Cricetulus griseus: one gene and its partner. The protein of the gene in region 2 interacts with the protein of the main gene of each other region in a pairwise test. Links are inferred from orthologs where the notes say so. Each region holds a gene or a part of one and is shown on either strand. Other genes may lie near its edges. The genes, in order: Rabggtb and Wdr4.

What was found.
Region 1: the proteins of Wdr4 (region 2) and Rabggtb interact in binary tests that used the Homo sapiens proteins (3 or more experiments, as listed by UniProt). The two-hybrid records come from large-scale screens. The link is inferred for Cricetulus griseus from reciprocal best matches to the Homo sapiens genes WDR4 and RABGGTB.

Annotation. Positions count from the first base shown.
Region 1 is NW_023276806.1:5,466,975-5,481,776, reverse strand, and holds the start of Rabggtb (geranylgeranyl transferase type-2 subunit beta), read right to left. Parts: upstream 6,762-14,802; 5' UTR 6,637-6,761; coding exon 6,634-6,636; intron 5,900-6,633; exon of another isoform or gene 5,820-5,899; intron 5,735-5,819; coding exon 5,627-5,734; intron 5,477-5,626; exon of another isoform or gene 5,395-5,476; intron 4,792-5,394; coding exon 4,594-4,791; intron 4,497-4,593; exon of another isoform or gene 4,425-4,496; intron 4,191-4,424; coding exon 4,085-4,190; intron 3,444-4,084; coding exon 3,391-3,443; intron 3,307-3,390; coding exon 3,196-3,306; intron 2,210-3,195; coding exon 2,084-2,209; intron 794-2,083; coding exon 644-793; intron 1-643. Other genes in the region: Acadm (medium-chain specific acyl-CoA dehydrogenase, mitochondrial), read right to left, coding at 11,727-11,798, 13,319-13,567. UniProt on the Homo sapiens protein: Catalyzes the transfer of a geranylgeranyl moiety from geranylgeranyl diphosphate to both cysteines of Rab proteins with the C-terminal sequence -XXCC, -XCXC and -CCXX, such as RAB1A, RAB3A, RAB5A and RAB7A.
Region 2 is NW_023276806.1:259,832,321-259,847,022, forward strand, and holds the start of Wdr4 (tRNA (guanine-N(7)-)-methyltransferase non-catalytic subunit WDR4), read right to left. Parts: upstream 14,063-14,702; 5' UTR 13,993-14,062; coding exon 13,904-13,992; intron 13,743-13,903; exon of another isoform or gene 13,631-13,742; intron 13,403-13,630; exon of another isoform or gene 13,212-13,402; coding exon of another isoform or gene 13,144-13,211; intron 12,492-13,143; coding exon 12,423-12,491; intron 11,809-12,422; coding exon 11,665-11,808; intron 5,073-11,664; coding exon of another isoform or gene 5,057-5,072; coding exon 4,900-5,056; intron 4,357-4,899; coding exon 4,244-4,356; intron 2,494-4,243; coding exon 2,433-2,493; intron 1,947-2,432; coding exon 1,848-1,946; intron 1,107-1,847; coding exon 1,042-1,106; intron 313-1,041; coding exon 129-312; intron 1-128. UniProt on the Homo sapiens protein: Non-catalytic component of the METTL1-WDR4 methyltransferase complex required for the formation of N(7)-methylguanine in a subset of RNA species, such as tRNAs, mRNAs and microRNAs (miRNAs).

The DNA of each region.
Region 1 (14,802 bases), about 250 Mb from region 2:
CTGGTGCCCTGAAATCCAGGACCCATTCCAGCTTCCCACAGCTCCCTACGAGCCTGCTGGGAAGGCCCAAAGCCGCCTGACAGCCGGGTGTTGGTGGGTGTTGGTGGCGCATGCCTTTAATCCCAGCACTCGGGAGGCAGAGGCAGGTGGATCTCTGTGAGTTCATGACCAGCCTGGTCTACAAGAGCTAGTTCCAGGACAGCCTCCAAAGCCACAGAGAAACCCTGTCTCAAACAAACAAACCCTCCTGACAGGGGGACCTAAGATACTGCTGCATTTCAAGGTCTCTGCTTTGCCAGTCCTTGACAGAAGACTTAAAACAGTGAGTTAACCCTTCCTAACCTGTAAACCACCTCCACTGCCATGCACTCAGTTCCCGCCCCCACCCCGCCATCCACAGGCGCCTATGCAGGTTTTACTGCTCCAGGCAGCAATATTGCTCCGCTAGCCACGTGAATGTGCCTGAGGCCCTGAGCTGTGACCAACACAGGCTTGCATTTCTGTAAGCTCCAGCCTTTATGTTACATGTTTACAAAAGCTCTCAAAGCAACCTTTGAACTATTACATATGAAGTACTATTTCACAGGCCCAGAACCATAGAAATCAGCCAACAATGAAAAACTGCAAAAATGGTACTACTCACCATATCTCCTGGTCTGTCTGCAAAGCCTCCAGTCTCTTCATCTTGGCACGCTAAAATGAAGCTGCGCAGTTTTTCTCTGTCAATCCAGTGAAGCCTCCCAATTATCTTCAGTGAGGCCAAAACCCACCAGGAATAGCACACATCCGGTAACTACAAGGGGGAGAAACCAGTTAGACTGCCGGCACTATTACCGCTCCATTTCTGTAGATTTGATAGAATTTTATGTCTAATCCCATGCTCCAACACTGGGGAAGTGAGCAAGGGGGTGTCGGGTAATGGTGGACACAAGCCAGAATTAAAGAGCCTGAGGCAGGCCGGGCATTGGTGGCACACGCCTTTAATCCCAGCACTCGGAGAGTTCGCGGTCTCCAGAGCAAGTGCCAGGATAGGCTCCAAAGCTACAGAGAAACCCTGTCTCGAAAAACCAAAAACAAAAAGGGAGCCTGAGGCAGCACAAGTGCTACAGTTCAGGCCACTTAGGCTATGCACAAGAACTGCAACCAAAACCCAGGAACAAACACTGGGTGAGGTGAGAGAAACCACTCCCCACACACTGGTGCTCACACCAACTCAGTACTAGGTGGCAAGTATACATTAACTTAAATCTTAGTCTAGTTTTCAGCTGAGGATATCAGTGTAGACTCATGAAAGCTGAGACAGGGTTTTCTAGGCAAACTGTTTTCCACTAGTCTGTCCAGGTGGACACACCTGAGAATTCAGCCTGCAGATCCTTCAGCTCGAACAATCTGCATCTTACTGAGCTCCGTGACTAATAAGCACATTAAGATATCCTAGTTTGTTTGAGCCAAAGTTCAAACACTAACCCTGCTCAGAGACTACCCGTGGGCACACCTCTCCACCCACCACATGAGATAGCAGATTATCTGTCTCTCACACACAGCAAGCCCCACACAGAACTAACTACAGATGAAATTCTGTTAGTTATACTTCTGTGCCAGCATTTCCCACAGCAAACATACTACATGGCTACAGATCAAATGCTCTGCAAAAATAAGTATCCTCTTGGTGTCGGGGGCAGCTTTGGGATGGGATGGCATGTCTAACATACTTCATTTCATTCAAGTTAAATTTTTTTGCTGTGCCTGTGTTACGGCACAGCCTATTCTGTGTCTACTATGCATGTTACCTGATGAGCCTGGGTTAAGATCCCTGGCTATCCTGGGGCTCCCCAAACAGACCAGACTGGCTTCAAATCCAAAGATCTCATGCCTGTGCCTCCCAGGTGGTGTGTTTCAATTAAACGCTGAGCCCACCCAGGATCTTTTTTGAGCACACCATGGTAGAAAATGCACTAAGTTAGTCAGATAGTACCTGCACACCAAGTTCTACTTTTACTATGACCAGTCACTCTGAAATTAAGCCAACTCTTAAGCACAGAGCACCACCCAGTCAGGTTGTAACAGAGAGTCATTACAATACCTTCTCTGGTCTTCCATTGAGCCCGCCTGAGGGCAACTGGCGTTCACAAAGCCACCAACCAAGCAAGTCAGAGTTCACTTGATGCAACTGACTGGTTATGGCCAGGAATCCTGTGCAACAATAGATCTAAAATTACAGACATAAAGTACACAGGTATAATTTAATAGTGAGTGACAAGCACTACCAAAACTATTAAGACTCCATCTTGTATCAGGGTGTATTATTTTTTTAAAGATTTTATTTATTATGCATACAGTCTTGTGCCCGCATGCCAGCAGAGAGCACCAGATCTCATTCAAGGCGGTTGCGAGCCACCATGTGGTTGCTGGAAATTTAACTCAGGACCTCTGGAAAAACAGCCAGTGTTCTTAACTGCTGAGCCATCTTTCCAGCCCCAAGGTGTATTATTAGGGTCAATGTCTCAGTGAAATGCCACACTTGGAATACAATTTAGAAAATGCTCTGTAGAGAAGCAAATGGCATGCTGACCTGGACACAGTGGATTAGGTTAGAAGGCTTTCATTGTTTAATTAAAGTTAAAGTCACACATGGAGGCTCATGCCTGCAATCCCAGGTAGGGATTCATTAGAGAACTAAAGCTGTGTATACACCACATACCCCAAACTTTACCTCACAAGGTGTGGCTATTTACAACACAAACTTATTTTAAAAAATTGCTCATCTTTTCTTTTTTGGTTTTTTGAGACTGGGTTTCTCTGTGGCTTTGGAGGCTGTACTGGAACTAGCTCTTGTAGACCAGGCTGGTCTCGAACTCAGAGATCCACCTGCCTCTGCCTCCCTTAATCCTCTGCTGGGATTAAGGATTAAAGGAATGGGCCACCAATGCCAGGCTTGTTCATCTTTCAATATAGGTTCTTGTAGGGAGACACTGTAGCCCCGCCTCCTAGGAGCTAGCTACTGGTGTGCTTGACTCCGCCTGTCAGGGCGTGGTCAGGGGAGGTTCAGGATGACGCCAGGGTGAATTCTTAAGGGGGTCTCTTCTGGGAGGCCTTCTCTCTGGCTTTTGCTTGGCCCGTATAATTTGAATACAGATATCATAACCAGTAACTTCTCGTTATAGGTTCTCTCCTAAATCTTAATAGCAAAATTACCTGGCCGGCGTGAGATTCGGAGCCCGGTCTGCACCCAAATCCACCATCAAAGTTCATACAGGACAAAACAAATTCAATTGCCTTTTCCACATTAATAGCATCAAGCTTGCCCTACAAAAAGAAATAAAATATATTACAACTACCCAGAGCACTCACCAATGCTTAATTAGGTCCCTCAACAAATTCAAAGCTTACCAAGAGAGCCAAAGTTGCCACAGCACAAAATGAGAACCTGGTATCAATTTCTCCTGAAAGATAAAAAACAGCCAAGGCAGTCATATAGATGCTACAAGTTTTCCACTAACAATTTCATTCAATTTCCCAAAGCAGGTTAACTTATATTTATTTAAAAATGGAGGCAATCCCCCAAAACATAAGGAAACCAGCTAGAATAGAAACTAACAGCCTTTCTAAGTAGCTCAGAGGACCCCAAAAGGGAAGAAACCTACAAAATGCAAGGACTATTATGCCAGTAAATTCAAGTTAATAATGTTAACACCCTATCTTACAAGAGGTTCATATCCCACAAAGCAGCTGGTCTCAGGCCTGCATTTTGTTCCACCCCAAACAAATTATCTACATTACTCAAATAATTTTTCTATGTCCCAACTCAGGTACTTAGAGTTTTGATAAACCTTTAAAGACTTCCTCTTTTCAGGGAGTTTAGCTACCGAATATTGGGGATAAAACTTGAACCTACCTTATCTTTTTAGAGTGTGGTGTGCTGACAAACCAGCACGGGGCATGCTGGGACTTCCAGCAGGCCATTTATTCCAGTTAGACCAACTGCTTAGTGGGACCTGAAAAGATGGAACAACTTGAAATCTTATGATTACTACCAAGATAAAGATGTTCTGCGTATGGAATAGCGGACTGAAACAAATCTTACCCCAAATGTCTCCAGCAAAGGAACCATCTTCTTTCTGTAGACTCTGGACATAGGCCACAACTTTATCTACATCGATGGCATGAACACTGTCATACAGAGTCAGAATCTGAAAAGGCAAGTATCCAAGAGTAGTTGTCACCAACTGAAGAAGGCCTTCCATGCTGTACTACCAGTTTCCCAAACACACAAGCATGTATCCTCAAGTTAACGCTAGTTATTCCCCCTAGTCACAGTTTTGCTACACAAACCATTGATAATCTCAAACTCAAACCACCCTCTGCTCTTTTCTAAAACCAATGTTCACCGTAGCCAGAGTCAGCCACAGGGGAAATTAGCCTCCAAGGTCTCAGCATCACTTGAGAATTTGCATCAAGTTAGCATTCAGCTAATACATGCCAGGACATCACCGACCTTGCAGGAAGGACTTCCCTCAAACGGACTGTAGTATTGACTTCTGACATAAGATACAGATTTCACTGTCCTCCCCCAAACCAGATCCAGTCACCTACCTGGACAGCACTGAGAGTGTAGAGCAGATGCGGGTCGTGTCCAATGCTAGCGCTGATTCCTCCACACTCGTGCTGGCACGACTTGATGAACACCAGTATCTCTTCTCTGTTCATTCGATCAAGTTGCCCCATGAGATCCATCACCGTCAAGCCCCAATAGATGCCGCTCATTCTCAAGTATTCAGACATACAGTATTCCTAGGGGAAGTTTCTCAAGCTCATCAATCCGTCCCACATACGACACACCTCATTTTTAAGACAGTCAGGACCAACTTTAAATGAGGCTTTAGAGTCTCCCAAGTGCCAACTACAGGCAGATAGAGCAAAAGCAAGCAATATCTCACTGTTTACCAGACACCAACCTACAAATGAAGTCCATGAATATGGAAATATAAACACTGTTAAAGATGGAACCCACGTGGGTTTCAGAACCTTGTTGCAGCTAATAAAGCATTATTTTATAAGCATTCATTCAAGTGAGAGCCTCAAGGAGGTCCACAGGACATTTAGGCCTATAACCCCCCCCCAAAATGAGGGCCTAAGTTATGGAAACAGCCAAGTTAGTAAACGAGTGTTTACTAACAACACGTGTTTGCTAAGACTCAGGCAAACAGCTGCTGTATGGAAAATATTTTATGTAAGTGATTCCCCTTTGGAGAGGTCTCTGAATTTCCCATGGGCTTCCCCCCCCCCCAACTCAGCCCCTTGGAGCTGACATCACAGGGGTGTGGAAATGTCCCCAACCTCCCGTCAGCGTTTCTCCAGATATGCTACCACTATTATGTTCAGGCAAACCTTTCCAAGGTCTCAGCGTAATTCTAGAGCTAAAGTGTGATTACACATCAGCAGAATTCAGATAATACATGCCAACACATCATCGACCTTAAAGGTTGTACCCCAGCCAGAAAGGAGCAGACCCCTCCTGCCTGCAAACCCTAACCTACTTCAGAAACGCCTCTTGCACAGCTGTCATGCTCGACAGAGCTAGTGCTCACCACCACTTACAGACTTGCCAACCCAAGGCCATACGCACATAGTCATCCTTCTTGGAGCCGTACGAGGCGATGTAATCCGCGTGCTTCTCCAGCAACAGGGTGTCGGGTGCATCGGACTTGATAGTGACATCCTTCTGCGGTGTGCCCTTGCGGAAAAAAGGCAGACATTTCATCGTTATTTACATCTTCTGCCCGTGACGTCCCAGACCCGAACACGTAACCGGCACCTTTCAGGTCTCAGAGTAATTCTAGAGCTAAAGTGGTTGATAATCAGCTTCAGATTCAGAATACATGCCAGCTCATCACTGACCTGAAATGACCGGTTTTGCGCTCGCCCTGGAATGGCGCCTACCAAAGCAGGCACGTTCCTGGCTAACGAGCCTGACGCTTCCGACAGAGCCCCTGCGACAGTGCTCCCGTGTTGCTCCCGCTTCCTCCCTCCGTGTCAGGCACAAGTCGGCCAGGCCCATCACCCACGCTGAGAGTCGGCTCTCGGTCTCTGCCAGGAAGCCCGGCCTGGCCTGAGCTCCCCGTGCGGACCCGGCTGGTTTGGAAACCAGGCGATCCCGCCTGTCCCTGCCTCTGCCTCTGCCTCTGCCGTGACGGGGCTGAGGTGTGGGCCCGGCCGGCTCCCGTCCACCCCAGTTAAAAGCGCAGCTCTGAATCAGAGTCTTAACGATTTCCTGGCATCTGTATGTTCCAAGTCATTCCCAATGAAAGAAAAAACCTCAAAATCAGCTTCACCGGGGGTGGAAACCCAGCCGCGGCGGGGGTGGAGAACGCAGTCAGGCCGCCCAAGCGGCAGAGGCTCGCCCGGAGGGAGGGAGGGAGGGAGAGCGGGCGGACAAAACCAGGAGCCTCGAGAACTGCGGAGAACGCCGGGCAATCGCTCCAGGGACCCTCCCAGGGCGGCCTCCCGAGTCCGAGGCAGGAGCATGGCTGGGAGCTCCAGGCCACGGGGCCCAGGAAGAGTGCGAGCCTTGCAGGCCCGCTCGCCCGCCCGCCGCCCGCCCCAGCCCGCGCACCGCCGCCACCCCGCTCTCACCATGTCCGCTCGCCAAAAGACAGAGGCTCGCCGGAGCACGGGGAGTCAGGGCCCGCGCGCCTGCGCACACGCGCCCGCCGGCCCGCCCGCTCGCCCACGCCCTGCCCAGACGGTGACGCTCGGCCCGAAGGACCCCGCCGCCCGCAGGATTTAGCCGGTCGCTCTCCTGCCTGAAGGACTCTGCGGTCACGATGTAGCCGGCCACGCTGCTGCCTGAAGGACCCCGCGGCTGGAAGTGTGGCCTTGCTGGCCTTGTGCGAGCCCCGCTCCGGGGCAGCGGAGGCAGGAGCGTCTGCAGTGCAAATCCCTGGGGGCCATCCCGGGCTACAGTCCCTGACGAAAAGATAAATACATCCGTTACCCAGTTAACAAAATTGGGCTCCTGGCTGTGGGTTTGATGCCTGAAACCACAAACATAAGGCTTAGTTTTCCCTCCGTACGGGTCAGGTAGTACGGTCCAGCCTCTTCATCTTACCCTTTCCTTCTTTTTCTGAGGTCCTGGGGGCTGGACTTGCGTGTGATCTGCCACCGAGCCATCTCCCCAGCCCTGTTTGCCCCTGCCAAGAATAGGATGTGCCCCACCCACCCCCAACCGTAGCTGCCACAGGTCCTCTACCCCCAATGCGGAAATGTCAGGCCTACCTGGAAAATGCTGTAACTGGTTATTTGGTTTGTTCTTTTTTGGTTTGTTTTGGTTTTGCTTTTTGTTTTTCGAGACAGGGTTTCTCTGTGTAGTTTTGGAGCCTGTCCTGGCACTCGCTCTGGAGACCAGGCTGGCCTCGAACTCACAGAGATCCGCCTGCCTCTGCCTCCCTAGTGCTGGGATTAAAGGCATGTGCCACCAACGCCCAGCCTAAAATGCCGTAAAACACGAAACTGTGACACGCTGCTCGTTTTAAAGTTTGTCTGTTGACCGCCTTCTACATATCTATGTGATACCCATATGCAAAAGCTAATCCCAGAATTCATTAGATAAGCCTCCCTGTGCAGTGAACAATGGTGAATGCAGGCTCTTGGCCCCCTCTACAGCTTAGTGAACACCACAGAAGAGGACACAAGATAGAAGGCTGAGAGACCATCTTCTGACCTGACAGCCTCTGCGATCCTCACCTCAACAGAGCAGCTGCGCTTGTCTGCACCGGCTTGCACACATCTGGCCCTGTCAACCATCAGTCATAGATGGGAAGGGACTTGGTGCTCTGCCCCTCCCTGCTGGGCACTTTCCCACGACACCTAAAGTCATCAGTTGTGTGTCCAAGGGTAAGCCCACCAGGCATCATTGGATTGCTCCAAAGCCACGGTCACATGACTCAGTGGCCATATACATGTATGAAATGGCGAAAGAACAAAATAAAGAAGCCTTGCTGGCTGAGGTGATATTTTGGTATACTGAGTTAAAATATATTTCAATATATTAAAATATATTTCTATTTTCACTTTTTAAGATGTGACTTAGAAAATTTAAAACAATCTAGAATTCACATTATATTGTTATTGTTTAGTGGATGTCTGTCTAGTTAAGCACAGAAACACACCTGCCACTGTGTAAATGATAAAGGCGTCTCAAGCTTGACATGGTAGAAAAGGCCTATAGTCCCAACACCTGGAAAGCTGAGACAGGAGGGTCACAAATACTATGCCAGCCTGGGCTGCTTGGTCAGTTTGAGGCCAGCTTGAGTTATGTAGTGTGACCCCAAAAGGCAAAGGACAGAAATAGTCTTTGTTATTAACAATATTTTTAAAGAATTGTTTATTTTTATTTAGTATTGAGAGTTTGCCTGCCTGTATATGTACGCCTGGTGTCTGAAAAGGGCAGAAGATAATGTAGGGTCCCCAGGGTCTGGAATCACACACAGTTGTGAGCTGCTGTGTGGGTGCAGGGAACTGGACCCAGCTCCTCTGCGGGAACACGTAGCTGCCCTTAGCTACAGAACGCCCTCTCCAGCCCCCAGGAGTAACAGTTCATGTTGTGAACTGCTGGGACCATAAATTACTAGCATTTAGTATAAATACTGTCCCAAGTTGGCCTTAACATGCTGACTGTATCATTCCTATAGGGCAAGAATCCCTTATTCCATCCTTGATGCCATTGATTGCAAGACACAGTTGAATTGCAAAGATGAGAAACAAGAAGAGCAGCCAGCATCCATTGGGGCTGGGGCTGTAGATATCTCAGGAGAACACTTACTTGGTTAGTGTGAGACCCTGGGTACAATCCCCAGCACTTAAAGAAAAAAAGGCACTGGCTAAATATTTCACTATTTTTAATTTCTTTACCCCATCATTTTTTATTCATGTTAAATGGAGGGAAATGTTGAAGGCTAATCTTGTTTGTTTGTTTGTTCGAGACAGGGTTTCTCTGTATTGCTTTGGAGCCTATCCTAGAACCCGCTGCATAGACCAGGCTGGCCTTGAACTCACAGAGATCTGCCTGCCTCTGCCCCCAAGTGCTGGGATCAAAGGTGTGTGCTAACAGTGCCTGGCTTGAAGGCTTTTACTGGATCAGAAGTCAACTATGAGATAGCCCTGAGAGAGGTCGCTCCTGGGAGAGGTTTTCTTACTTGTGGGGCATGGGAAGTTGTGAGGCCCACACTATGTGTGGGAGGTACCTTACACGGGTGACCCAGATAAAAGGGAACTACAGAGAGAGCTTCACTTTTGCCTTATTGCCTTTTCGTCTTACTGTTGAATTTATGTTGCAGCCACTGCCGCCGCCGCCGCCACACTCCTTCACTGACACCAGAACGCAGCTTCTTCAAGCCTCTAACACAGAGCGAAGGACTTCAGCACCAGGTGGTGATGGCCGAGACGCCCAGCTTTGCTGAAGGAGCAGGTACTGGGTGGCGAAGGCAGTGTTGGACGACCCAGACCACATCATGTAAGCCCGTCTAATAAAAGCTTTGAGTATGTATCCACTCTGCATGTTCAGTTCCTCCAGAGAACCCTGATGACTATCAAACCCTTTTGTGTATGCATGTATGTGTATACATGTGCACATTTTATGGGGTGTGCATACATATGTGTATGCATGCGTGAAGGCCAAGGTTCAATGGTGGGCGTCTCAATCTCTCCACGTTGTTTTGCAACAGAGTTTCTTCTCACTAAACCTAGACCTCAGGGATTTGGCTAGACTGGCTGTGGTGTCAACACAACCTTGCTCTCCCTCCTTCACTCTGGGATTACAGGCACACCCAGCCAAACCTTACCTCCCGTGGGCTCCACTGAGGTCATCAAGGTATGCAGCAAGTCCCTTGTAAACAGAGCTATCTCCCCAACCGTGAGATCTTCTCCTTCCACATTTATTGTGTGGGTGTGTGTGCACACAGGTGCATGCCACTGTGCAAAGCACACACACTACCACAACTTATACCCTTCTCGTAGTAATTCAAATCATTTACTGGGGTTTAAGATTTATTTTTATTTTATGTGCATGTATGTATGTATATAACTGTACATATTCCTGGTGCTCAGAGACCAGCAGAGAGCATTGGATCTTCTGAAGCAGGAGTGATAGGCAGTTGTGAGCCACAGTGCGTCCTCTTAAGAAAAGCGAGTGCTCTTACGAGTTTTCTTTCCCCCAGTTTTCTCTTTTTCTTTTTTCTTCAAGAGGAGGCCTTGCTGTGTCACCAAGTTTGCCTCAGATTCACAATCCTCCTGCCTCAGCAATGTTGGGATTCTAGGTGTGTGCCATGGTGTTCAGCCCCTTTTCTGTTTAACCAAGTTTATGTTCCTAAGTTGTCTTCTTTATGGAGGTACATGGACACATATAAGGTGTTTTCCAGAGCTCTGAACCCTTTCAGCTGGTTATCAACGCTGGGGTCATGGCCACACCTGAATTGGTAGCTTTGTTGCATCGAGTATAGGTAGCCTAAAGACCCAGAATGTGTCAAATAGTATAGTTTTGTCCTAGTCTTTTCTCTTTGCTGTGATAAAATACTTTGACAAAAGCAACATAAGGAAGTGTTTATTTTCACCCAAGGTTCAGGACCCTAGTCTGTCAGAACATCAGGAGATATCGTAGAAAAGGAGAATCAGAAAACATTCCCCACTTTGATAAATTTATTTTGTAGTACTTAATACCAAATTCACAAATTGTGGCTGTCATTTCATTGTGTTTTTTGTTTGTTTGTTTGGTTTTTTGAGACAGGGTTTCTCTGTGTAGCTTTGGAGGCTATCCTGGCACTCGCTCTGGAGAACAGACTGGCCTCAAACTCACAGAGATCCGCCTGCCTCCGCCTCCCAAGTGCTGGGATTAAAGGCGTGCGCCGCCAACGCCTGGCGTGGCTGGCATTTCATGTTTATATCTTCTGTGGTCTTTAACAGTAACAAAACTGCACACAGGCATGGGACACTGTGGAATAGTATGGAGCTTGCTCTATTTCAGTTCCTTTTTAAAGTCATGTGTGTGAAACACAACTATGTACAGCAGCCCAAAGGGTTTATACATTCCTTAAGAGTCACAGAAAAAAAATAGCTTAAGGTTAGCTTTATTGAATTATTTTAAATGAGACAAATGAAATGTTGGTTCATTATTAAGATTTTCCAGAAACTTCTTACATTTTTTTTTGGGGGGGGGGTTTCGAGACAGGGCTTCTCTGTGGCTTTGGAGGCTGTCCTGGAACTGGCTCTTGTAGACCAGGCTGGTCTCAAACTCACAGAGAGCTACCTGTCTCTGCCTCCCAAGTGCCAGGATCAAAGGTGTGCACCACCAACGCCCGGCACTTCTTACAGTTTTATAATGGAAAAAGTGAATTTTTTTGTATTTTTTTACTTTTTGGTGTAAAACAAAGTAAATATGTTCAGAATTATAAATCAGCTGTGGTAACTTAAGTTATCACAGAGCAAATATCATCCAGGAGCAGGAGTATTAAGAACAACTCATTGTTCCAATAAACCAAATTTATCCTGAAACCATGGAGTTCAACAGAGGTGCATTCCACCATTGTAATAAACTGCACAGATCTGTGTTATTCATCTTTGACTTCATTTCTTAGAAAGATGATAGACAAAGCCCTTCTTTTTCTCTTAAGCATAAACAATGCCTTGAGGTTTAGTTGCACGAGTATGAAGCATCTCTTCAAAAGCAATTTCCTTTAATTTTTAAACTTTCCAATGTGCTCACGGGCTATGATCAGCCTCTGAATTTGTGCAGTACCTTCATAAATCTGAAAGGAAAACATGGCTTGGTTTTAAGTCATGAAAATTTATTTTACAAAATTGGGAGGAAGGCTTAAAACATCAAAGGAAATGATATTTTACATTTCAAAATGTTTGGGAAATCTAAGGTTTGGTGTTAGAGCATTTATTATCCAGCTTTTCTGAGCTGTTTTTAGTTATGTCCTTTATTCTCTGTTCTTACTATTAAACATGATTTTTTCCCCCCACTGCTGCCTATTAAAGAAGGAACTATTAAAGAAGTCAAAATATTGGAGGCTTTGGGCTTTAATCCCTGGTAATCCTTCCCATTCTCAATCTGAGTTTCCAATCTCAGCCACTTGTTAATTCATTCTTGGGGGCTAGAGGGATTTATGATCATTACAGGCTCTTGGACGGGTGAACTAGTAACTCCACAAAGACGGTGACTTCCGGTGTTCATGTCTCCTATGTCTAAATAAAAAGACTGGCCTAGGCAGACCACCGTGAAGACAAAATCCTGAGGAGTTATTTTATTTTATGTATGTGAACACTTCGCCTACATGTATGGATATGCACCACATGCTTGCCTGGTGCGTGCCGAGGCCAGAAGGCGGCCTGGGAGCCCCTGACACTGTTGTTACAGATGGTTTATGAGCCAACATGTGGGTGTTGGGAATCAAACCCCAGGTCCCCTTGGAGAGCTGCGAGTGTTCTTCACTGCTAAGCTGCCTCTCCAGCTCCATCATTCTCAGTGTTGATATTGTTACAATTCTTAGCCTTTCCTTTTCTAGGGCTAATGACACAAGACTTTTCTGTTGTATGAAAATTAGGTGATGAACATCAGAAAAGGCAGACAGACATGGAAAGAGAATGAAAAATATTGGATAGTCCCAATTAAAAACAAAACAAACAAAAAACTGATTTCAAACAACAACAACAACAACAAAAACTTAACCAGTTGTCCGTGTCTCACTCAAGCAGTCTGCCTCTGCCTTGCCAAGACATCTGCTTGGGGTGTGCAGAACGAGGCAGGGGTATGAAGAGCCATGGGCTATAACTCACCCACAATGGAGAACATGTAAGTTTCTATCTTTTTTATGAAGTCACTCTAACTTTCTAATTGCAAACTTAATTTCAGAGTCAATTATCACTTCTAAAGGACACATGGCTTTTGACTGTAAGTACAGTTTCAATTAGTTAAAAAAAAGTGTCAGACAACAATCAAGACAAGACAATTGTAAAAGGCAAAAAATGCAGATTGTAATTTGAAGACTCAAAAATGGCAGAGTTAGGCAGGTGATATATGCCTTTGCTATTTACTTGGCTAGACCCTTCCCTCTTAGCAGCTACACTTAATAAAAAACAACATTCTTTCTTACCATGTGGATTCTAGGAATACAATTCAGGTTGTCAAGCTCAGTGGCAAGTGAGCCACCATTCACCCTCTGAGCCATTTTCCTGGTCCAACTGTCACTATTACCAGTGCCTTGAATCTACTATTGTCACTTATGATATTTTATCCCCCCAGGAACAAGACTAGAGAGCCTACCTGATAGATCTTGGCATCCCTCATCAGTTTTTCCACAGGGTATTCTGTATTGAATCCATAGCCTCCAAAAATCTGCACGGCATCAGTAGCTAACTGATTGGCAATATCTCCAGCAAAGGCCTTTGCAATGGAGGCATAGTATGTATTCCGGCGGCCAGCGTCAACTTCCCAAGCAGCTCTCTGGTAACTGAGTCTAGCGAGTTCAACTTTCATCGCCATTTCTGCGAGCAGAAATGAAACTGCTTGGTGCTAGATTTAAGGGGAGAAAACAGTTGGAGGGTATCTATTGGCAGTATTTGTAATATTTTTTCTTAAAACGTCTTTTTTTGCTCTTTATTTTGCACTAATTTTGGACTTGCAGAAAAGTTATAGCTAGATTTCACTACGTGAGCACCATGCAATGATTGAGGCAATGGGCATGAACCTGTAGAATTACATAGACCGTAGACAGATTATGTTCTTAACCTCTGAGCCATCTCTCTAGCCCCCTCTTTTCTATTTTTAAGACAGTCTTGCTATAAAGTGGTTATTGATCTTGAAGTCACTTAAGACCCACCCTGCTGCCGGGCATTGGTGACGCACGCCTTTAATCCCAGCACTCAAGAGGCAGAGGCAGGCGGATCTCTGTGAGTTCGAGGCCAGCCTGGTCTACAAAGCGAGTGCCAGGATAGCCTCCAAAGCTACACAGAGAAACCCTATCTCGGGGGAAAAAAAAAACCCACCCTGCTGTAGTTACTACCTCAGAGAACCTTCTAGACTATATAGTTCCCATCTTCTGACTTCTGTCCTTTTGAAGAATATTGTTTTGAAATTTTCTCCTTGGTTTATCTAATATTTTCTCATTATGAGAACACAGTGAATGTGCACAGGTGGTGCTCTTAGTGGCTGCAGCTGAGGGTGTGTCCTGTCAGAACTCCCGAGGACAGGCCAGTAGAGACACCTGAATACTAACATCCACCATGTCTAAATCTCTGCAGAGACTCCAAACACAAGTGTGTGTTCTATTTTCCTAGAGGTGGTTTACACAAACAGATACAATGTCTCCCATGTTTTTACACAAATGCTGGCCTACGAGGTTGATGGTTTTTCATCTTGCTTTCCTTGTCAGTAAATTGTGCAGAGCTGTATCGGTGCGTAAAGAATTGTCCTAGTGTTTTAGCTGCACAGGCACCATCCCTCTCCCAAGAATGATCAGGGTTTTGGTTATTTCTGCACAATGCTGAGATATGGAGTAAGTATGATGATTCAGATCATAGCTTAGGTTTATCTTTTGTGTGTGTGTGTGGTCCACAGTAGGTGTTTTTATTGATTGCTGAGAAAAATGTACTCTTAAAAAGCGATTGTGATGAAACCATAGAATCTTCTTCCCCACAAAACAGATTATTTTCTTCCTTAAAAGTAATCTCTTAATATTTAGATAAAATGAGTGTATTTAAATTTCACCAAAGCAAACACAGTACTAAGATGGCATCCTCAAGAGCTGG
Region 2 (14,702 bases):
ATCAATCTGAGGTTCAGGATTGTAAGGGAACCACAGCTATCCACCTGCCAAACCCTGCCACACCTCCACCTCCACCCCACCCCATCAGAACAACAGGCTCGGTACACGGCGATGCTGCACATACTCACCTGCCACTGACCACCCACAGGCCTCCAGAGCACTAGGGGAGCGTCACGACAGTCCTGCAGAACCCACAGCCCCTGCGAATCCTCAAAGACGATATCCCACACTCGATGAGGGAAAGTCAGCTGCTGTCTGAACACCAGCTGCTGTTTGCTGGCATCAAGCTGGAAGATGAAGACCACAGGAACGCTTTGCAGGAGAGAGAGACTGGTCACCACTGCAACCGCAGGCCCATGGAGGCATTCCATACAACACAGCTTAGCACCAGGCCTGCTTCTACCACCCTGGACCCTGAGCCAGAAGCCAAATGAATCACCCAAACCCTGTGAGATGGTATTTGTTTGCTGTCTTGAATCCTACCCCAAGAACTAACCAATACAGGACAAAGTGAAACGGCCACCCCACCCTAAGTGTATAGACCAATGACCCCTTTGGGGTTCAAAGGACCCTTTCAAAACACATGTTTCTTTACATAATGATTTATAACAGTAACAAAACTGTAGTTATGAAGTAGCATTAGGAAGGTCGAGAACCACTGGTAAAGAGGTCAGCCTCTGAGGAGCTTCTCTCTCTTCTCCAAACCTATATTCTCATTCATAAGGAGAGCTAGGAGCTATCTTAGGAGAAAATGCAGAGCACCAGAGATCTACCCTGGTATTGAGAAAGGGCAGAAAGAACCCCTCAATTACACCTTGCCCCTCAATCTGCCAGATGGTGCTAACTCTTGGGCATATTCCAGCAAGATCAGTTCTGAGTGGAATTGGCCTATGGAATCTCCTGCAACTACACTTCAAAACCAATTAAGTAGAAGATGCCTCTACTTAATTAGAGGGCCCCAGCCCCCTCCCTGAAGAGTAATCAGCGGAGTTAACAGAAGACACAGCCACAGGCCGCTGCCAGTGAAGCCTGCTGTCTTACCACTCACACAGAAGCACTACGCAGCTCTCTTGTCCCCAGAATGCAATCCTGGATGCAGCCAACCCCTGCAAGAAAAAGCAGCTATTTAACCAGGCTCTGCTGGCTGGTCACCATAGGGGAAGAACACAGGCATCACAAATCCCTCATAATGCCAAAGCAGGGCACAGAGGACACAACAACATTCTGGAATCAGTAGGAGGAGGAGGATAGCAGCTAATGTCCCTGTCCTCACACGACAGAAGTGTGTGTGTGACCCACAGCCAAAGCAACAGAATAGTCAGGAAAGCAGGGACATGTGGCAAGAGGGACTGTAATCAGGTAACTGTCCTGTGGGCTTCCATGCTTCCCAGAAGCAGCTTCTGTAAGTCCCAAATTTCATGATGTGTGAAAACAACACCTGTTGCTCATTGTCCTGGCAGAGGGCAGACACCATGCCACCCAATTTTAAGACAGATAGCTGAGAAATCTGGGAACATCCCTGCTGCCAGAGGAAGCATGGGTACAGCAGGTGCCAAGAGAGGCACTCCACGAGCACAGAGAATGCTGGGGGGGGGGTCCTCCCCCGCTGTCCACACTGACAAAGCACAGGCAAGGCTCTCGGCCAACATCATTTTCTCATGCCCATGTGTGCCCGGAGGCCTCTCTGAGAGATGTGAATTATTTTCCAACAGGTGATCAGGCATCTTCAAAACTACAAATCCTGTGTGTTTCTCCCGCACAGGAAGAAATCAGACACTGACATGTTTCTGTGAGAAACTGAGAATGTTTCTCACAGATGACTTCCCCAGAGGCAAGCATGAAGTTACCTTGTGGTCTTGATGGTCTGCAGGCTCCCGAAGGCTAGCCAGGTCACAACACTGCAGCTGGCAGCCACTCCTGTACTCCCAAAGTCTCAAGGTACCATCCTGTGCACACACAGATGAGTTAGCATGTGGGCTCAAGAGGCCTGTCCCAGAAGCAAAAAAGGCTGTGGGAAGGGAGGGGAGTGGAAACACAGGGCATGGCTGGGTGTGGCCAGTGCCCCCACTGACATCTAGGGCTCCCTTATATCTGAGAGCTAACCAATTATGTCATGGAGCACCTAGAAAAGCCTCCGAGAAGACAGGCCAACCAAGACACACGGCCCATGGCACAGCGGACAAAGGCACCAAGATGGCCAGACTCCCCTGTTAATCCACTTACAATGCCTGCTGTGCCCGGACCAGGCAAGTGAACACCCATGCACACACAAACCATATACACAGCCATGAAGAAAGTGGCCACTCTCTAAGAGCCAGAAAGAAGCTCCCTCTAGCGGCCACCCACTGAAATACTTGGCACCCTCGCTGGGGACAAGAGGTGGTTACTGTCTTCTGCCCAGCAGTGACCACTCCAGCAAGCACAACACTTACCCCAGAGGAGGAAAGCAGCAGCTCAGGATGACTGGGCACAACCAAGATGCGGCTCACAAACCTGTGGGGAGTGGAGATAAGTCACCAGGAACACAGGAGGGAGTCCCTCACCCTGCTCAGAAAAGGAAAATCCTGCAGACCTGACCCATAGGTCTGAGAACACGGCTGGGCACTTTCGAGGCCCCAACATTACATCTGGACCAAGGGTGGCAGGGCCCAGTTCTGCTGGAGCACTGTAGGGACATGCAGCCCCACACACCTGCATCCACCCAAGATGCCTACACTCAAGGTCAGCACAGGGAGGAGGAAGAGCACACTTCAGTCAAAGCAGACCCTAAGGTCTGCTACACTCTATGTAGCCAGTCTAGTACTAGCGTCCCAAGGAACCCGCCTGAAGATCCAGCTATCTCAGCCTAGCTCCGTGGCCTCTAACTGTACAGTACAGCGACAACCACTCCGCCACCCCTACCAGAAGTGCACCTGAGCAAGCTGGCTCTCCAGGAATTTCCACACCTACCCTGCAGTCCTTCTGGCCATAAACATGTCTGGAGCACCTGCCAGGCAGCAAGACTGCTCTTGTACCAGCTCTTTATAGAGACCTCAAGGTATCATTCACAAGACCCAGGACTCGTACAATATGTTGGCCCGATGGCTCCCTTCATCCCCACCACCCTGACCCAGGCCTGTTCTGCAGCTGGTCTTTGACCAACAGTTGCCATCTCTTAGGGTGCTTAGTTCTAGTCTTAGGCCATCTAAGAGGAATAACCTGTGAGGACTCTACAGGCCCAAGTCACCCCAAGTTTTCAGCAGGTAAGTGGGAACTAGTCTCCATAAGCCTGAACAACCATCATAGAAAAGGCCACAGAAGGGTTCCTTCTTGCCAGGATAGGCTTCAAAGCTACACAGAGAAACCCTGTCTCGAAAAACCAAAAAAAAAAAAAAAAAAAAAAAAAAAAATTCCTTCCATCTCTGGCCCTGCAGAAACCCAAAAGGCTAATAGGACCAGTTCTTACTGAAGTCACAGTATTCAAGTGACAGATTCCTGCAGAGGGTGGAGGAGGAGCTTTCCCCCTCCCCCCAAGGAAGCAGGCAGCATCCAGAAGAAAGTAGGGAACAGGAGCAGAGGGCTGCCTCCCACACACCCTCCTGTCCCATGAATCAGCACGTGTCAAGATCCTGAGCCAGGAGTGTGTGCCAGCCGGGCCGAGGCTCAGAATTCATCGAGTGACCGAGACACAGTGATGAGGACATGACTGAGGGTAACAAACACTCAAGCCCTGGAGGATGGAAGCCAACTAAGCTATGGCAAGGTACAAGCTGAGTGACACCAGCCTTCTCTCCAAGGCGAACTTCTGCATCCCACTCAAGAAACCAGAGCCAGCTCAGAACTGAAGTCCTTCAGGTTCTCCACCATCTACAATAACGCCCTTTCCCTTCTGAACAGCACCCTATTCGTCAATGCCTCTCATCTAGAGCCACCTGCTAGCAGAGCTCAGGCGGAGACGAACCTGGGGACCCAGTCACTTAACTCCCAACAGCCCAAGTGGCTAAAGGACGCTCCTCAGTCTCCTGACTACTTTCAGCTGGGCTGAGGAGCAACAGCCCAGGAGGTAAGCTCAAAGCAACTGCTTCACATGGCCGACAGCCCTGCAGCTGTCACACCTGGGGGAACCACAGGCCTGGCAGGGCCTTCCGAGCCTAAGCAGCTCTTAGCTGTTGGTAGACTAGTAGGGGCTGCATGCTATCAGGGCCCTGACCCACCCTCATCCATTAGACTTCCCTGACTGAGGAGGAAACAGGATTGCACTTACTCTGTGTGTCCCAAGCAGAAAGCCTCGATGCTGTGCGGAGCAGCAGCCCAGCTGACCCGGATCTTCTCATCCCGGTCCGCAGTGAGCACAAACTGGTCATCAGGACTCACAGCCTACATCACCAGGGGTCAGTAGAAGGAGAGCCACTCACTGGATGGCCTTGCAAAGTACCACAAGAACGCTTGGATTTTGAAGGACTCTCTCGAGGAGCTGCAGTGCAGCTTGGAAGAGCAATGGGAGCTGGCAGGGGACGGAGGGAGTGTCCCCTACTGTGGAGGGTCTCCAGCTTCAATGAGAGCCAGAGCCACACTTCTATACACTGAGACCAAACTCCAATGCCACCCAGGCATACCTGCTGCACTCCCCCCATCCTCCACTGTACAGCGGCAGCCAAGCCAAGCTAGGCACTGCACCCAGCACACTGCACACAGCCCTTGATCTTACCCCACCTCAGTCTGTCCCATTCTACAGACTGGAAGCTAGGGCCCTGGCTGAATCCTAGGAAGGGAAAAGTGGACCCCACTTCACCTGCCAATGCTATTCTACAGTCTGCTGCTCTGGAAGAGCCCCGTGTTTCCTCTCTCTCTGTCCCTGCCCCCACTTTGCCCCCTCTTAAGCCCTGGCTGAGCAGACAGTGTTGTGTGTCCCCCACATACCACATCTAGCAGCATGGAGAGGTGCCCAAGTTCCAACTTGCCACATCCATCAGGCTCCAGCACCGAGAAGGAGTAGACATCTCCAGATTTGTCCGCCACCAAGACCTGATCTTCTGAGGCTGTGAAAACCAGGGCAGTGCACCTCCGCACCACAGTCCTGCAGAACCAGAGAGCTGAGCTGGTTAGTGTCCCAAGTCCACACAGGCCCTCCAGCCAGAGAGACAGTCCCCGACTTAAAATAGTTAGACGTAAAATACTCTGACTTTACCATAGCACAAAGGTGTATCCCTACACCCAGCTCTCACTTTTAGTAATCACCGACTCCAAGTAACCAACCAAACTGTGTAAGGCCTTCTCTTACATAGCTTTGCTCAGCTGTGATTCTGATCACATTTCAAAGATGAGGCTAGTCTCAGATGCTCCACTCTGGGGTGGTCAATGCATTTATCTAAGATTTCATTTTATTGGGGGAGGGAGGAAGAGGGAAAGGGATTGATATGTGAAATTATAATTTTTGTAAAAATTAAATAGATTTCATTTTATTATTATGTGTATGAATTTTTTTACTTGCATGTATGTCTGTGCACATACATTCGTGGTGCCTGCAAAGGCCAGAAGAGGGCGTCAGATCTCCTGTTACTAGAGTAACAGACTGTTGTGAGTCACCATGTGGGTTCTGAGAATCAAACCCAGGTCCTCTGGAACAGCAGCCAGTGCTCTTAACCCACCGAGCCATCACTCCAGATCCTAGTCAATGCATTTTTAACCTAAAAGTAACTCTAATTCAGGAAGAGCTGGCACAACCTGTTCCAGGTTGGAAGCACCTATTGTACGTGCAGAATCAGTATCTTGCACTGCAGAAGGTGGTGCCACAAACATAAAGCAGCACAAAGGAACCGAAAGAAAGCCAATGCTTTTAACCTATTAAACTATACTATAATCCTCCCTCAGGAAAAAAACATAAAAACAAAAAGACAGACACAGAGACATGGTGGAACACAACTTTTTTTTTGTTGGTTTTTTTGAGGCAGGGTTTCTCTGTGGCTTTAGAGGCTGTCCTGGAACTAGCTCTTGTAGACCAGGCTGGTCTCGAACTCACAGAGATCCACCTGAGTGGCGCACACCTTTAATCCTAGCACTCTGGAGGCAGAAGCAGGTAGATCTCTAAGTTTGAGGTTAGTGAGTTTCAGGACAGCCAGGGCTACACAGAAAAACTGTCTCAAAAACAAAACTAAACTGTAAAAGTAAAAAGACAGGCAGGCATGATGACACACATTGTAATCCCAGCACCCAGGAGGCTGAGGAAGGAGGACTGAAGTTCCAGGCCTGGTCTTGTGAGTACTTAATAGAAAACACCCCAGTTTTATTGTACATTTGAAAGGCCCATGATAAAATGCTGAGGAAATCGGCCCTTCCCCAGAACCTTTGTTGCTCAGATGAAGGAGACAAGGGCCAGCTATACTACAAAGCATATGCTCTCTAGAGTCCAGTCTTTGAGTCTTCCCAGCCAGCAGCACCATCTGGCTCTACCTGACCCATCCCACCACCTGTGACTCTGCTGCTAGGCCTGTGCCTAGAGGCAGGAAGCTCCCAAGTACCATCAGACTGTCGCTCCCCTCATACCCAGAAGAATGTGGGCCACAGGCAATACAGGGTAGCCATGGGCCAACCTGCATCCCAGGTAGAAGGTACAGGGACAGCATGGCAGACACCTAGACTACCGAAGTCTGTCAAATTCAACTGATTCACAGCAATCCTTGGCCCAGGTCCCACAGTAAATGCCATCTGTAAGCTGATTCAGTTAAGTGGCAGTGGTTAGTTTCCTCCTCTCCCATACCAGGAGAGGGCACCCAAACCCCCACCCCATAACTGTATACCATATCCTTCTGCACCCGCCACTTACTCTCTAGGACACACACCCTAACACTCTGCAGTGCCAGGACCCTCATCACAGCAGCCCTGCTCTCCCGAGCCACTGCTGGGGCAGAACAGCACCAACACACGCACAGCAGAAGGTTGGCCATATGTGGGTCTGAAACAGAACCTGAAACATGAGGGCAGTGCTCCACATAGACAAGAAGAAAGGGAAGATGTGGCTGCACCCTGCTCCTCCTCTCAGCAGTGCAGCTGCACAGTGGCTGCTCCAGAGGGGAGCAATGGAGAACAAGACAAAGGCAATTAGGCTCTGGGGCCAATGACTCAAAACAAATGGCCTGAGCCGCCTGGCAGCTGAGACTGTGCTAATGAACTCAATGAGCAACTGTGCCAAGCACAAGCTCTGCCCAGCGGTCAAGACAAACCACCAACAAACCACGAGGACTCCAGGATCCTAAAATCCCTGAACCAGATTCCTGTATGAGTCTTCCCATGCCCATGGCTGCTACTCAGCTCCAGGCAGGAATGTCCATGCTGTTAACACCAGCCTGGGACTGTACCATAGAGGCAGCTCTGGGAAGGTGTGAGATGTGGGTAGCAATTTTGGAATCAGGGCCCATGTCAGGTCACCAGACCGGACAGTGTGCAGGGCAGGTCACTCCAGGAACTGAGGCAGTAGCCCCACTGACCCCCACAGAACATGAGCACTCTCCTCTCTGGTGGGTTCCAGAGAAGGGGGAACAAGCTGGTCTCTGCCAAAGCATCTCACTGCTGAACCTGGAAGCTCCCATTTACATAGGTCACTGTCCCAAGCCAGCCTTCAGAGCCACACTGCTCAGGTCCTGCCAGGGATCAAGGGTCCCACAGCTGTCTGGCGGAAGCTCTACCAAATTCACATCCCTGGCAGGCAGCCTACAGCAGAGCAGACTCAGCCACTCTCTGTGAGCTGCTACTGCTTTCTGCAGAACACTTTCCGGAACAGTGCGACTTCACATTCAAGATTTCTCATTCATAACACCACACGTCAAAGCTAAAAGGTGCCATCTGTCCCTTCGCAGTTAGCTGGCAACCATGACCTCCAGCACAAAAGGCCAATAAGGACCCGGTAACCCACCCAAGTGGTGGTTTCTGTGGCCCTACTACTCTGAACTACATCTGAAAAGGATTCAGGGCCATCCACATTAATTCTTCCACATTAAGACTGGAGGCAGAGGCAGGCGATCTATGAGTTTGATGCCAGCCTCGTCTACAGATAAGTTCCAGGACAGCCAGAGCTACACAGAGAAACCCTGTCTCTAAAAAAAAAAAAAAAAAAAAAAAATGAAGGCAGCAGCTGGACAGTCTCCAAGCTGGTCTCAGCCAGGGAGTCCCAGAGAAGCCTGGGGTCCCAGTGGTATGTGATATACACAAAGTCCAATACAGGCAACTGCTGGAACCAGGTTGCATGTCACAGGTATAAAAGGTGGTGTTCCTCAAGGGAGCAGGTGCATCAGATCCCAAGATCTCTGTCCACAAAGTAAAAAAACCACCAGACCGTGGAGTGTGGCAGCCTCCAGTGTGAAGGGGAGTGAGCAACCCCCACTCCCACATACCTCCTGCCACCCTGGACATACCAACCTCCCCTACTCTCTTACCCCACAAACCCTGCTGTCAGACCTCCCACCAGACAGAAAAAGTAAGGACTTTACCTTGCCCCACTAACTGCATGAACTCAAATTCCAAAGGCAGTGTGCAGAATGGATAGAGATCTTTCTATCAGAATTAAAGATCTGAGAATACTGCATGAGAAAACACATGCAAACATGGAAAACAGTTCTGCTATTAGAGACACTGGCTGCTCATGCAAAGGACCTGGGTTCCCAGCATCCACATGGTAGCCCACAACCATTTCTAACTCCAGTTCCAATGGGTCTAACTTTCTCTTTTGGCCTCTTCAGGTACCACTCACATACTCATTGTTCAGACAGACAAGCAGACACACACACATACAGGTAAAAATAAAAACAGCATTTTCAAAAAGATTCTTACACAGGCTGGAGATGAGATCTAATGCCTTACACATGCCAGTGAGGCACACACTAGCCCTAAGAGACATTTTTAAAGCAGGATAACATTACTGTGAGCCCAACCAGTGGAGCTCTATACAGCACAGCAGCTCTCAGAACCTGCACTTCCAGATGCTACCTTCTAAGCCATAGATAGCATTCTTCCACACACCTTTATCCTTGAAGGCACCAGAGTCTCCTTGTCATGTCCCCTAGCTGTGCTGTTGGCCTGATGCAGGATCTAAAGGGAAGGTCAGAGAGCTCTCCAAGCTTACATCTCCTGCTCCACGTGCAGTCCACACAGCCCAGAAGCACTATAACCAAGTAAGCTTATCTGAATGGATCGCACACTGGGGGCCAGCAGTGGAACACATGCTGAGCACCAGGCTCTAGTCACAGCACCTAACAAACACATGGCAGACCATCCCAACCAAGGCTGGCACATTAGAACCTGTGCTGTCATGGTGATCAGGTGATTCTCATGCCTACATCTGTACAACCAGAGCCTTTACTCTACAGGAGAGTCACCATCACATTCTTTTAAAAATCTTATGTGCATATGTGTGGGTTCCTGTGTGTGAATATAAGCATGTGTGTGCCACAGCACACATGTGAAGGTCAGAGGACAAGCTCTGGTAGCACTCCTGGCCTTCTTCACTTTGTTTGAACAGGATCTCCTATTGTTTGCCACTGTGTATACCAGGTTGGCTTGCTGGAGGGCTGTGATTACAGATGCATGCCCTCTATGTCAGCCTTAAGTGGGTTCCAGGATAAAGACACTTGCTGCCAAGCCAGATGACCTGACTTCTAACCCAGGATCCCATGGTAGAAGGACAAACTACCCAAGTGTGTATATATGTGTGTGTGTGTACATCTGCCTACATACATACATACATACATACATACATACACATACATACATACATACATACATATATATATATGTACACACACAAATAAGTAAATTTTAAAAAAGACAGACAACTTCCTGCTGGTGAATCATCCCTCTGTGGGAGGGCCTGAGGAAGCCTGGTCCATGAGTGTCCTTTTGTTTAATTTGTTCTGCTCTGTTTCTAAACAGTGCACATCTATTATCCATCTGAGAAGCAAAAGCACACACACACTGCCATCCTAAGATAGGCAGTGATGTAGGCTTCTATTTTTAAGCCGATGGGAAAAGGGCAGAATGGGTGTTCTTGTTTTTTGCTTGGAGGGGGGGTATTTTGGGGGGTTGGTTGGTTGGTTTTTCAAGACAGTTTCTCTGTGTAGACCTGGCTGTCCTGAACTCACTCTGTAGACCAAGCTGGTCTTGAACTCAGAGATCCACCTGCCTCTGCCTCCCAAGTGCTGGAATTAAAGGTGTGCGCCGCCGCCGCCGCCACCACCACCACCGGAATGTTCTTGCTTTTGATGCCACCTAGAATGCTGGTTTTTTACTCACCTCTTAGAAAATAGGACGAACTAAAAATCTAAATGTTCAGCTGAAGTCCCTGAATACCAATAGTTCAATCAAACACTGCTACCGCAGTTTACCTGACGGGATGAACACACAGGTCCCCTCAGGCTCCTCTGCTTGAGCACTTTATCCATAGCAATGGTGTGGCTCTGGAAGCCATGGAACCTTTAAGAGAGGGCCTAGCTGGCAAACATAAGGCCCCAGGGCAGACCTCGAGAGACTATCCATCCCTGCTTTCCGAATCCTAACATACCAGCAGGTGAGTGAACAACACTATGAACTCTGCCCACATGCCTTCCCTGTCCCAATCAACACACCCCTGACATTACCAGCACCATGCCTGTCATGACGGCACATCCCCGAAAAGCCAGCCAGAATAAACCCTCCTTCCTTAAGTTGCTTCTGTTGGGGAATCTGAAACAGCAACTAGAAAACTGATGGATAAAATCAAGCACAGCTCCACTAGCAGCTGGGTCGAGGGGAGCGTGGGAGAGGGGTTTTGGGGGCCACAGGAAAAGTAAGGCCCGGCTGACTTCACTCCATGTGCTACTGCCGCAGAAGACTCGGGCTCAGGAACCCCAAAGCATCTGTATTACAAGGTTGTTCGAGCCAACAAAATGCAATCCTGTCCACAGTGACACCCACCTCCACTCTCGAGGACAAGGTGGCACTGAGAAAAACAGCATCTCCAGAAACACAGATTCACAGCCGCCTCCTCAACATCACCACCGTAACTTCCCCCATAACCACAGGCCCATTTCTCTCCCTGAACCTTGCCTTCAGAAATGACAGTTACAGTTTGAGAGGAAGAGTAAGTGATGCAGCGTATTTATGTACCTATTGGGAGAAATGACTAGAATACCCACCTGCAGTCCTGCCCAGTTGTCTCACCCTACACCTACCTCGTCTTTTATCTTCTCCTCAGACACAAAAGGATGTAGCCCACCACCTAGCTTACAAATGTGCAACAGCCACTGCCACTTATCCAAAGCCCTGGCATCTTGAGTGTGAGCTAACAGTCCTAATCCTGTCAGGTATATGAGGCCACAGCAACGGGGAATGCAGGAAGACATATGGCATACAGGGTACTGACACTGCAGCCAGAGGAGCAGCTACACAGCCTGGCTCTGCCTTTCCCAGCTCCATGTCCTGAAACGGCTACTTAACCCTACGCCACCCCATGTGGAGGAGCAGGGCCAGGCCACCCTCCCGTGCTATTAGGATTCAGTCAGTTAGTGCATGTACAGCTCTGAAATCAGTGTCTCACACATAGCTGGCACTTCATGTTAGCTGCTATTACAATGGTCCCTGTCACCACTGCTGATGTATGACATGCAAGGACAAGGAGTGCATAGGACATCTTAATGACTCAATGTTAGCATTTCATACCTGACACTCAGACATTGCCATGGTTTTGTACGGAAAAGAATCAGACGCTTACTGTCATCAGTTAAAGCAAAATAGCTGCCAGACTTGGAGAAGGTGGACGCCAGAATCGTGTCACTCCCCTTGTCGATGGGCTGTCCGTCCTCCCTGAAGAAGGGCAGAGGAAGAAAGGAAAACAGTTAGGCCTCACCTGAGTTGCCAAGCTTGTCCATTCTAACACAGGGAAGGCAGAAGACGCTTGGTCAAGCAGGTCATGTAGCCAAAGCATAGTGACGAAACTTAAGGGGAAGTTCAGAGAACAGCTCTGATTTTACAAGCGTGAAACCTAAACCAACAGGAGCCCTCTGCAAACACACTAACATCCAGTGTGCGCTGGAAGCACTCTCAGCAATCACATGGCCTAACCCTCCTAGATATGGACTAATCCAAGGCTAGAAGCAGGGACCAATAATATCGCTAACAAACTGAGTCACAAGACCAAGCTACCACTCAAAACAATCACACACTGCTGTGTCCCTTTCAATTAGTTAATTCCCCACACCTGCTCTCAATGCATTTGATATGCTCCTTATTAATTTAAGGGACCAGTGACAAAAAATGGTTACTAAGGACACTAAAAGTATTTGGGAAGGCCCTTAAAATTATTTCCATGTTTCTTTCTGAGATGGAACTTAGCCTCGCCCCACAACTAGAAATTCCTGCCTCGGCTTACTGGTCTCACCATTCAAACCACAAGTGAGCACGATTCCCCACCATCTCACCCTTTATCTCCTGGCACTGACTTTTTCTCCGCAGCACTGCAGTCGTATGTGAAGACGCAGTCATCGTCACTATAGGGAAGAAACCAGAATGAGAGCTTATCAACACACAGAACTGCTTCTTGTCACTCTAGGACATTTCATCATCATTGAATTGGGGCCTTCTCCAGGACAGAAGAGCCAAGAATTGTCATCTGCTTAACCCCCTAATAGGCTGTATCATGAACAGCCAGCATGTTTCTGTTCTAAATCAGTTCCACCTGGCACAGTGGGGCACACCTGGAATCAGTGGACTCTTCCAGGCACCAAACTGTTGATTCTAAGAGATTATATTCTGATGTTATTTTTTTTAAGATTTATTTATTATGTACACAACAATCTGCCCCCATATATGCCTGCACATCAGAAGAGGGCACCAGATCTCATTATAGATGGCTGTGAGCCACCTTGTGGTTGCTGGGAATTGAACTCGGGACCTCTGGAAGAGTAATCAGTGCTCTTAACCACTGAGGCATCTCTCCAGCCCATGTTCTGATGTTATTTTCAACTGAGCTCTGCTCGCAAATTTAAAACAGTCGAGGCTGTCCTTACATGGTTCAGAAGCATGTCTCACCTGCTGGGGAGAAAGCCCCCACAAGCCTCAGGCACCTACTCATATAGGAATCGCCCACTCTCCCTATTAGAACCTAAGCTCCCTTGGGTGCTCTGGCCCGGTTTAAAGCACCTTGTACTATTGACAGCCGCACCAAAGACTTTTCCAATTAAACACTGAGCTGCAGAAAGAAAAGTCATTTTCCAAGTCTGAAACCTTGCTGGCCAATAGCAGTCCCTCGACGACACAAACTGAGGAACATTCCTAATCTTCAAATGTCAGAGTACGGAAACTAAATGGGAAAAGGAAAAGAAGCCAAAACGGACTGCCACTAAGTCCTTCGGTTCCTGGGTCACTACTTGCTCCACCATTCACTTGAGTCAAGCATCCCTTGACCCACCACTACGGGAATAACGTAAAGCAAAACCACTATTGGGAAGGACTAAGAGGGAGATGCCCGCTTCAGGCTCTGCGTGCATCCTGGGACTGGGAGGTGTCGGGGTATAAACCTAAAAACCCCGCACAGCAGCTAGAGCCGGGTTGCTGGACACAGACAAGGGGCGGGAAGCACGCCTGTGCTCGGTGAGAGCCAGCAGAGTTCGCAATACACCAGGCTCACCAGTGAGGTTCCGGGCAGGTCAGTCTGGAGCACCCAGACCCCAAGTCTGGCCTCCGCGACACGCACGTGACTCGGCCCTCCCCACGACGCGCAGGCGCCGCAAAGTCCGGAAGTGCCCGGACTCCACCCCAACGGAGCGTGCGCCCCAGACCCGCCGTGCAGGTCGTGGGGACTCCGAGGTCGGGGAACAGGGAGGAGGAGGAGGAGGCCTCATTCGGGACAGCGGCGGTGAGGCCCCGCGGTGAGGCCCCGCCACCGGCCCGGGCCTCTTACCTGCTTGTAGTGGAGATGGCCAGGAACCTGCTGCCGCCCCGCACCACGAGCGTTTGGCCGCACAGCGCCAGCCCCGCGGAGCTCGCCATGGGCCCGCCCGCGGCCTCCGCACACGTGCGACGCACCGCGCCCTCCCTGCTGGCGCCCGCCAGTGACGTCACTCAGCGCCGCGCCATGGGCGAGCCGGCTTGGAGCATGCGCACAGGGAGTGGTCGCCTTTGTTTCTGAGTACCCGAGGGTGCTGCTGCTCCAGAGCTGGGTCCTCCCCATGCACCTTTCCTATTGACTGGCTTTCTGGTCCGTCAGGTTCGGTGCTTCTAAGTTCTAGGGCTTCCTCTTGGACGGAGCCTGGTACCCAGAGGGTGCCGGTAAAAAGCTGCCGAATGGCGTCAGTGCTGGATGGCCAGGCCCAGTCTGTCTCAATTCAGGCAAGGCCGCTGGAACTGTGCTACGCACCCTCTTCGTGTACGACAAAGTCGCCTCGATCCCCCCTGTCTAAACGTGTTTAATGGTGTGCCTCCCCAGGTCCACAAAAGACTCGTCCCGTCCCAGTGGCTCTAAAAGGCCCAGAATGCGGTGCTATCTTACTGGTTGGATGTGGGCCCCCGAGGCAGCTCCTAAAAAGATGGTTTATCGACCCCCATCACATCCTAGTCTGTGACTCGCAGCAAAATCAGTCACTAATGCTGTGTAGAATTGCCGTCTTAACGCTGTGCGGATCCCCGAGCGAGTCCATTTTATAAAGCTCCATTTTTCCCTCAGACAGAGTGACTCTTCATTTTACTTGTGCAAGTAAACA